Caenorhabditis elegans: one gene and its partner. The protein of the gene in region 2 interacts with the protein of the main gene of each other region in a pairwise test. Each region holds a gene or a part of one and is shown on either strand. Other genes may lie near its edges.

Evidence for each region. The genes of interacting proteins can lie anywhere in the genome.
Region 1: the proteins of kdin-1 (region 2) and smz-1 interact in a two-hybrid assay, tested with the Caenorhabditis elegans proteins (one large-scale study listed by BioGRID).

Annotation. Positions count from the first base shown.
Region 1 is NC_003282.8:12,452,937-12,457,539, reverse strand, and holds smz-1 (PDZ domain-containing protein), read right to left. Parts: upstream 2,491-4,603; 5' UTR 2,349-2,490; coding exon 2,220-2,348; intron 2,173-2,219; coding exon 1,909-2,172; intron 1,855-1,908; coding exon 1,423-1,854; 3' UTR 1,241-1,422; downstream 1-1,240. Other genes in the region: C25G4.7 (uncharacterized protein), read right to left, coding at 393-520, 568-580; Transcription regulator spe-44, read left to right, coding at 3,459-3,614, 3,672-3,840, 3,902-3,998, 4,059-4,267, 4,565-4,603.
Region 2 is NC_003282.8:11,036,602-11,042,275, reverse strand, and holds the start of kdin-1 (KAP NTPase domain-containing protein), read right to left. Parts: upstream 3,391-5,674; coding exon 3,277-3,390; intron 3,253-3,276; exon of another isoform or gene 3,103-3,252; intron 2,993-3,102; coding exon 2,927-2,992; intron 2,882-2,926; coding exon 2,780-2,881; intron 2,649-2,779; coding exon 2,475-2,648; intron 2,427-2,474; coding exon 2,319-2,426; intron 2,162-2,318; coding exon 2,045-2,161; intron 1,998-2,044; coding exon 1,801-1,997; intron 1,754-1,800; coding exon 1,654-1,753; intron 1,607-1,653; coding exon 1,508-1,606; intron 1,078-1,507; coding exon 912-1,077; intron 861-911; coding exon 681-860; intron 633-680; coding exon 494-632; intron 438-493; coding exon 236-437; intron 181-235; coding exon 74-180; intron 1-73. Other genes in the region: fkb-1 (peptidylprolyl isomerase), read right to left, coding at 5,175-5,354, 5,406-5,517, 5,563-5,674.

The sequences.
Region 1 (4,603 bases), 1.4 Mb from region 2:
GAATTTTACAGGTGGCAGGATGTCTGTAAAAGCAATTGGGAAACTATTTCAAAAGCGCACTATTATCTCCATCAGAATTGTCAACCAATCTTAACTTGAACTCCACTTTCTGCACAGGAAGAGGATGTTGTCCGGCTGGATAAAGACTGATTCGAAAAACCTTCTCGACGACCGGTTCTTCAGGGTTTTGGGGATGTTCTTGAAGTATTTGGGATACCGATATTTCGATATCCCTGGAATCGAAATGAATTTTTACTGCTTCTTTGCTGACAAAGTGAATAGACGTTAGACATGAGGTAGGCACTTGGGGAGACTGGGGGAGTGAAACTAAATTTCAGTTCCCACATATCTCCATCTCCCCTTTTCTCTATCCCCTAGAACTGTGAGATCACCTACCAATTAATCAGCGAGTACTGATGGACCGTGGTAAAACGTTTCGGCTTCATATGCTCAACCTTGGTGGTCGTAATTTGAAAAGAGTGAATAAATGTGATTGTATCAAGGGATTCTTGAACACTTTCTGAAAAAAAGTTTCAAAAATTTCATTAAAAAGCGTTCAAAACTAACCAGGTTTGCTCATGATTTGAGGCACGAAAGTTGGAAGAAATATTGTAAATAGCTAGGAATAATCGAGAAAATCACGATAAGCACTAGAATGTTTTTTGAAAACGTGAGATCATCACGTTTTTTTATTCAAAAGTTGAATGAAAGTTTGTTAATAAGATAATTTAGATTAGTTGCAATGGCATGTTACCTGCCAGTAGGTGAATCTTTGCACGATGCACCATGTATTTATCTGTCAAGACACAGACACCAAATTTGGCGCAGAAATGCAGAAACTAGGCATAGGAAGGCCTTTAACATTGCTGATTTTATTATGGGTTCAAGAAGTTAATATAAATTGTTTTTTCAACAAAAAAATGTCAAAAAAAAACAATTTATTACCATTTATTTTGCAATCAAAAGCTTCTCAAAATGAAAGCGTTGAAGGTGGAGCAAAGCAAGTTGTTTGCGAGAGGCTCAGTGTTGTGGGTACTTCCTATGCCATCAAAAGTTATGGCTTTTCAACTCTTGTTAAGGCTACGGTAAGCCAGAACTAGACTTTCTTCTGGGCCACTAAAACATGGTCAGGGCTTTTGGTAAACGAGGAACACGTGGAGTAAACGAGCTGATATTAATAGAGACTTGCTGTAACCACATTCTGCCTTTTTCAGAAATTCAAACAACTTTCAAACAAAAATCGTCTGCAATACGGTAGTATTTTGACCACTCCTGCCTAAAAGGAGCCATTTTGTGGGCGTTTCACATACCCAAAAAACTATCTGTATTCGAACATATAAAACAAAATAAATCAGCAGAAGCGATTCAAACAAAATTTTTATTCGAGCTAGACGTTGCGATTTCTGGCATCTTGCTGGCACATCACTTGACCTTGCGAAGAGCTTTTCCCTCATGATCATGCCCGATTTCATGTGTTTGAGTTTGCTCGACAATTGAAACGCGACGAGCGCTTGGACCAGTAGACATAGCACTCTTTGCTGGAGGCTTCAATCCTGGAAGAGCTTGACGGTATTGAGACGCAATGCCCTTCACATCCTCGTTCATTTGCACAGATGGTGGCTGCATAAGATTGGTTGCCAATGCCTGCTTTGCCCATTGCTTGGCATCAATCGAATCGGGACGCTCGACGACGAAAGTGACTTTTCCCTTTTCTTGAATGTTCTTGACGAGAAGGTCTCTGGCAACATCCTTGTCACTGACTGGAATACCATCAACATCACACAAGTGATCTCCAAGAACGAGACACTTTTCGGCGAGTGATCCAGGATCAACACGGGAGACAAGCACACGATTCTGAAATAGATATATGAATTTCCTAGAATTTATTTGATTTGATTGATTTCTTACCTGGAAATGCTTGATTCCCAAACCAAGTTTTGGTCCATTTTGAACCCAAACAAGAGTTGCCAACTCATAGACGTATCCTTCACGGCGTTGAATGATCTTTGCACGATCTTCAGGAATATGAACACGAGCCTCCAACTCTTCGGCCTTCTTCTCATCGCGGTTCACCATAATTTTTGCACATGGAGCTGCAAAGCGAAGTGCACGGAAAAAGTCATTGCAATCTTTGCAGTTTTGCCCGTTGACTTTTTTGACTTGGTCACCAATCTATAAAACTTTTCATAGAATAATGGTTAAACTTTTGTAGAACTTACTCTCAACTTTCCTTCGGAAATAGTTCCAGCCTGGATTTTAGTGATGACAAGCTTGTCATTCGGAGTTGCACCAAGTGGTTCTCCTTCTTCCATATCGATACAGATCTCGATCATCTTCTCGGAACCCATGCTTCTGCTCCTTTGCTTCTTGGCTGCTTTGGCGATTCAAAAGACGATTGATTCAAGATTTCGGACGAAATATGAACAAAACTGACGAAATCTGGACCTTTTATGCTGAATTAATTAGGCCATAAAAAACAAGGCCCAAAGGTCATGTCACGTAATCACTTTTTCGTCTAAAAAACTCTATTTTAAAGTAAAAATATTATTTTTTGTTTCTAACAAAAAAAAATATAAAAAAATATTTTCAACTATCTGAACTTTCAAATAAAAAAAATCCGTCCCTACGAGTCTCTCATAAAAACATTGACCTCTACAAAATTTGAAATCATTAAATGTAAAAGGCAAAATCAACCTTGGAGCAATTTTACGAGCATTAAAAAATGTTTTCAACGAATTTTTTTGCTTAATTTTTCATTGTATTCTTAAACTTAAGGTGATCTGTGTGTTTTTTTTTAATGACTAATACTATCAAATGAAAGATCATAGTTAGTAACAAAATTCTCATTATTTTTTAAAAAGATCGGTAAAAACCTTTGAATTGCAATCCTAAAATTCTTGACTTTTTTATTTTTTATTTTCTTCATTTTTTCCTATCTTGTGATGTTACAATTACTGTAAAACTTTCTGATTTCAGAAGGTTCAAGGGAGGACCAATATCGTAAAATGGTGTCGCCACGCGCCGCGCGATTTCGTATGTGCGCCTTTAAGGTTACTGTAGAAAATTCTGTTCTGCAATTATTTTCACACTTTTGCTTTTTTATGAACTTTTTCACTATTTTTCGCGTTTAAAGTGTTCAACTTGTGATTTTTAATTTAAATAACTGTTGTTTAGTGTGAAAATTGTGTTTTTGTTGTAAAAAATTAAAGAAAACTCTCTGAAAAGTTGGATTCTTCCCGTTTTGAAACCATTTCTCTTGAATAAATATTCTTAAAACAAAAAATTCATTATTTATCTGCCAACGAAAATAATAAGAAATTTCAGCTTATCGGAAGTGGTACCAAAAAGATGAAAAAAAGAATGACGCGGAAATCTTTACGTGTTAACGTGAAACGTGGCGAACTTTGCAACGGCCCGCCCGACTCACGGTTTTATTCGGATTGCAAAGCAACGTCAAAATGTTCGGTGGAGACGTGAGCGCTGCTTCCGTGTTGCCGTCTCATCCGATTTCTGGATCATGTGATGGATTTCAAGCCGAAGGATCTGATCATCATCATTCCACGATGACTCCATTCCAAGAGAGTCAAAGGAATGTTTATCAAATTTTGTATGGAGTGAGTTTCAGCTACTTTTTCATAATTACATCGCTTTAATAATTCATATTTTTACAGCATCCGGCAAACGACGATTTTCCGCGCCCTATAACACCACTGCAGATCACAATTCCCGAAGGAGATGCGTCACCGACTGTGCCAGTTTCCTGTGGTGTCGTGAATGGAAAGATGCATCTCAACCTGTTCATGTGCCCTGGGATTCATCAGCCGTGTATTGAAGTGGGAAGTTCGTTATTTTATTTATTTCAGATAATTTAAAATGGGTCTCATAATATAATTATTTTCAGACGATCTTCTTTCTCCGAAGCAGTTCACAATCCGTGGCGACAAAGAGCGTCAGAAAGATTGGAAGGCGAGCATCCGTGTTGGAAGATCTTCGTTGAGGTGAGCATCAAGACAATAATCCCTTAAAATACTTCTGTTTCTCAAAACTTTATATTCTAGAACTCACATGGAAGCAATGACCATCGACTTCTACGAGCATATGAATCGATGCAGTGGAAAGTGTCAAAGCAGAAATTATGTGAATGCTCCATCTGAAGAGGTGCTTCAAGCTCGGAAGTCCAAGAGAACATCTGAAGCCGGACAACTTAAATATGAGATCGAAAATGAGATGGCTGGAAAAGAGGCGGATAATGATGATAATAGAAAGAGTACGACCGATAATTCTACAAAAGGATCTAGTTTTGACATGTTCTCTCAATATTTTTCATTAAAATTTAGGAATAATATTTGTTATGTCTAAAAATAACTTATATTTTAGTTGGAACAATCGGAAAAGTGCTCAAATATTGTCTCAAAGTTTGAGATTTGTGAGCATCTTTTCAACTATTCCAACTTAAATATAAGTTTTTTCAGATAAAGGAAACATTATTCTATATTGCTAGAACATTCTAAAACTAGCTCCTTTTGTATAACTACCAGTATTCTGGAAACATATCATTTTTCAGGCGCCAAAAAAGCTCGTGGACGTCCACGTGGAAGTGTCA
Region 2 (5,674 bases):
AAAATGTGTCTTTTGGTTTGAAACGTAATATTTTCAAGATAAAATTTTTTAATGCAAATCTACAAAATCATACCTAACAGGCATACTTGCACTATCTTCACTGTTCATCGGTGCATGAAGTGTTAAAATGTTGTAAACCAATCGGATCCGACTGAACACCCGTGCAAAAAAATTGGCTATCTGAAATGTGTGAAAAAATGAAAGTTTTGTTTTCAGATAATATAAAAAATCTTACATCCATTGAAGTATACCAGTTCTTGCGATCCCCATAATAAACCACAACAATCAGTGAACAGAATATGATGAAAATGAGAAGAAAGACGGACCATGAGATGAGATATGCTGTGACTGAGTTAGAAATGGCAATGAGCATTGTAAAAGTTAGTGAGAACATTCCAAAAAAGAGGAATATGGCAAAGAATAAGGCAAACGAAACTCTGAAATATTCAACTTTTAAAAAATAAAATTTCCTATATAAAATGTTTAAACATACGAAAGCGAAACTCCATCAAGCCAATCCCTTGAGAAACTGTGCATTGCCTCTTTCAATTTTGCGAGAAGTGCTGATTTTCCGGATCCCCATTTGGCGTAAAGTCCAATTGTAAGTGGAAGAGAAAGAGAAGGTTCACACACTGAAAATAGTAAATTCAATGAATTCATTGAAAATATCGGGAATTTACCAATATCAGCTAAAACATTAGAATATACATCATATCCCATAGCTGTATCCATTTTATCTTCCGCATCAATTGGTCCAAAAATTAGTGGCAGAATAGGTTGAGGATTTGATAAGTCAATGGAATACGGTGTCTGACCAAGCTTATTGGGTCGGTACAGTAACCGAGAATCTGATGGATTGGCTGTAAAAATCTCAATTTTTTAAAATATCTACAAAACAAATTAATACTCACACAAAAGTGCCTGTGTTAATCGTCGACTACGTGCTCTCAGTGCCAAATGAAGTGCATTATCTCCACAATTATCAACTGCAGCGAGTTTAGCTCCGAAACTCATCAAGTAGGTACACAGATGTACATGACGACATTTAGCAGCACGAAGAAGTGGAGTTTCACCGTCCTAGAAAATAGAAATAGAGAATTTTTTCAATTTTTCTGAATATCAAAAAAATCATACATTTCAGATTTTCAATTCTTTGATTTTTCGGGGGAAATTTTCAAATTTTCAATATATTCTTTGATTAGGTAAACTTTTTTAATTTTTTTAAAATTGAAATAAACATATGTTCATAGTCAGTATATTTAATCAATAGTTTCCAGGAGATTTTTCCGATAATTTTAATTTAATTTCCTTTTTTTTTTGAAAAATCGAAATTGAATTTTTTTTGTTTTTCAATATTCTGAAAAAAAAAGATTATTTCGAAAAAAAAAAGCTTTAAATTTCGGTTTTTACAATTTTGATGGAATTTTGAATTTTCTTAACATTTTGTCAAACTTTTTCTTTAAAAAAACATTAAAAAATCGAAAAATTATATCTCCTTGTTCCTCACCTTATTTTTCAGTTCCAAATTCGGTTTTTTCTCCAATAAAATGTAGGCGATATCATTGAATGATTTATCGATGGCCAGATGAAGTGGTGTCCGTTTTTCCTGAACTTTTTTATTTATTTTATCAATGCTTAAATTCTAAATCCTACAGAGTCTTGACAATTGATATCAGCAAATTTGTCGAGAATCATTCTAACAATTGCCGCATTTCCACTTCGAACTGCTGACGTAAGAATCCAGTTTCCAAATCTGCAAATTTCATTTATGTTGAAGTCAAAAACTAATTAGAAAAATACCTATCACACTGATTCACAAAAGCACCCGAATTAATAAGAGATTCACATATATCAGCATATCCATCACGAGCTGCCATTCCGAGAGCTGTCAAACCATTTTGATCAGCTACATTAACATTTGGTTCTCGTGTCAGAAGAAGCTCAACTACTTGAATAAAGTTTCCACGTGTTGCCAACATTAAAGCTGTGGATGAGTACTGTAATTGAAATTAGTTTCAGGATTCAAAATAACTAAAAAAATTACCATTCCAACTGCATCCACCTCAGCTCCAGAATTTAAAAGTAGTTGTACAACAGGAAGATGTCCTTTTCGAGCTGCCCAAATTAATGCAGTACTTCCGAATTTGTCACAGGCATTTACCTAAAAATATAAATAAAAATAAATTGGAATTATATTGAAAATTTGATACAAAAATTTTTGGAATAAATTCTTATAGCAAAAACATTGAAAACGAGAAGCTCTGACTATTTAGAAATTTTTTTATACGAATACTTCCTTTTTTCAAATAAAATCCAACCTGACAATCTGAATCAATTAATCGCTCTACAATTTGTGAAAATCCACGTCCAGAAGCTACAATTAACGGTGTGAGTCCGTCTTCTTCGTCAATAAGATTTACATGAGCCGGTAACAAAAATCGTTGTTTTTCTAATTAAATATATATATAACTTACTTTTGCGTTAACAAGTAGATCAACCACATCTAAATGATTTTTATAAACTGCCCACATAAGAGGACTCCATCCCATTAAATCAGGTTGATCAACAGATGCTCCATTATCAATTAATAATCGAACAATGTCAACATGACCACAGTGAGCTGCATTCAGAAGAGCACTCCAACCTTCCTGAAATAATTTTCAGTTGAAAAAAGAATTCAGCTTTTGAATAAGGATTTTTTTTAAACTCAACTCGAAAAAAAATCAAATGGCTCATTAATTTTTTGGAGTATTCAAATATTTTATTTCAGAAATCTTACATTGTCAGTTTCATCAATTGCGTCTGGATCCAATTGTGCTAATTGTTTGGCAACTGCTGTGTTTCCTGATCGAACGGCAACTGTGAGAAGTGATTCTCCATTCTGAAATTTGTTTTTGAAATAATTTATTCGATTTCGAGCACTTACAGCGTTTCTGAGAGCTGATATTTCTGCGGTGAGTGCACATCTGAGTTCTGTGGTGCCATGCTCAACCTGGAATCATTTCAAAGTTAAAAAAAAATGAATAAAATTTATGTTTTCAGTGTTTTTCTTTGAACAAAGATCTTCAAAGGATATTTTCTTTGTTTTATTTCTAGGAAGATGTGATTACTTTTCTTTATTCTTAAATTTCGAAATAAAACAGCATTCTGTCAATTTTGGTTTTTGAAAATTGATTTTTTTGACGATTAAAGTATTTCTAATCGTATTAAATTCAGATTAGCATATTGAGATTCAAAATGTTTCCTTAAAATTTATTAATAATTATAAAATATAACCTGTTCGAAGAGCTCAGCAATTTGTGTACTATTCATAGTCACCGGAAGAGCACTGGCGACGGCAAAAGCACTGCTTGCCGCTTCTTGCCACGGTCTTCTCAGTGTTTGAACCATGGCTCCTCGCTGCTTCTTCTCGTCTTCTTTCCCCTAACGTCCTGGGTCTCCACAACGCGTCACAATATTTCTTGGATTTCTCTATTTTCTCTTGCTTTCAGTGGTCCTTCGTCATATACAAACTTTCCAGACGCTTGTTTAGTATAAATACTAATTTCGATCAGCAGTTTTTCTTCGCAAATCGATGAAGAATTGTTGTGTTTTTCTTTTTATTTGTTTGAAAGCTGAAAAATATTACTGTATGGGGTTGAAAACGAATAATAGACAGCATGTATTGAAAAACCGACGAATTTCTGTAGATAATGGTAAAATTTGATACAAAATTATTGGGAATTACTCTATTTAAGAGCAAAAACTGATTAAAATACATTAAAATTCTACAATAAACAGTTTCAAAGCATTCGTAGAAAAATCGAAAAGAGAAAACAAAAAGTCCCTACAGTAACTTTAAAGGCGCATCTAGAATACTTTGTAATGGTCTCGACGCGACTTTCATTGTTGTATTTGCAAATCTGAAAAAAGAAAATAATATTATTTAATTGGCAGCGCCTTTAATCTGCGGTATTTCTTTGGAAACTTTAATTTTTTACAAATTAAAAAGAAAAATTCCGACAAATATTTGAGAAACTTCGTTTTATGAGTGGTTTTTATTATATAGCTTCGGTAATTATTTTTGCTTGTTTCAAACCGATTTCCGAAAATGGTCGCAATTGCAGTTACCAATAATTTAATATTTTATGATTTATTCTTAATCCTCAAAAATCGAATAGAAATCAATATTCGGAAAACAGAAAAAAAAATGCAGAAAATGACACATCTGTCAGTGGTGGTCGCAGTAGCAGACACCGAAAAATGATGGGATGGGAGCCTGTCAATAGAAACACAAAAAAAACGAAAAGCGTAGGCAAACAGAAAAAGCGTTAGATTATCATAGATCTCAAAAAAATAGAGAATTCAAAAAACCAAGTTCAAAATTCTAGAGAAAATATCGAGTCCTATCAAATTTCCATCACGCTCCGTTGGTTTCAAGAAGACGGATTATGCAAATATTACTCCCGAAACCACGTTGAATTTTCAGTGCGAAATGTCAGTTTTATTATTCATACTTTTATACATCAAAACTGAAGAAGAAAGCAGTGAGAGAAAGGAAATACAAGGCTCACAAATACTCTCACAGGAGGCTCTCAAGGAATACTCAATTTACTCGTGTGTTGAGAGAAGACAACGAAGAGCAAGAATCGACCTCAATTTATAACTATTGTTAGGATGGAGCATGAACAAAAAAAAAGAGAAAAGAAGCATTCGGATCGTTGGTGCAATAATTCATGGATGCCAGTTTTAATTGGGTTTCTACTAATAGAATTCCAATTTTTTGTTTATTGTTCGACATTTTCAAAAATGCATTTCCTTTTTCGATTCGTGCTTTTTATTTACAGAGGAACCACATACTTGAATTCTAATATTTACGAAACTGTTGATTCCAGATTTTCAGATTAAAATAATCATTCTTAAAAACTAAGAAAGCAAGGCATTACTAGGTAAGAAGAGAAAAAGGTGTATGGAAATTGATAAATGTCTCGCACACCCTATCATTTTCGCTGACAGAGTGCAATACAAGGTGATAAAGAGAAGCGAGACGCGGTTGTGATCAATGGCCGCAGACGGTCCAAATATATAGAATGGGCATGTTTATAAAGACAAAAAAAAAAACTGCAAAAAAAAATTATACTCTGAGAACATGAATAAGTTACAAAAGGCACGTTTTCTAAATATCCGTAGTTCGTTTACAATTCTTCTCCGTCTCTGTCAATCTTCATGAGCTCAACGTCGAACTTGAGGACAGAGTTGCCTGGAATCTTTGGTGGGGCTCCACGTTCTCCGTATCCAAGGTGTGGTGGAATTGTGAGAATACGACGCTCTCCGACGCACATGTTAAGAAGTCCTTGATCCCATCCCTTGATCACCTATAATTTCAATTTTAATTATTGATATTGGTTTTTTCTTTAAAAACTAACATTTCCTTGTCCAAGAGTGAAAGTGAATTCTTCATTGCGAGTGCGGCTGGAATCAAATTCAGTTCCATCGAGAAGGGTTCCGGTGTAGTGCATGTGCAATTGATCACCCTTTCTGTAAATTTAACATTTTTATTTTAATTAAAAAGAGTAAGCTTACCTGGATTTCTGAACGCAGTTCTCGGCACGCTTCTTGACTCCAATTTGCAATTTATCGATTTTCTGCTCATCGGCAGCATATGCGATCGCCAATAGGCACAAAAGTCCAACGA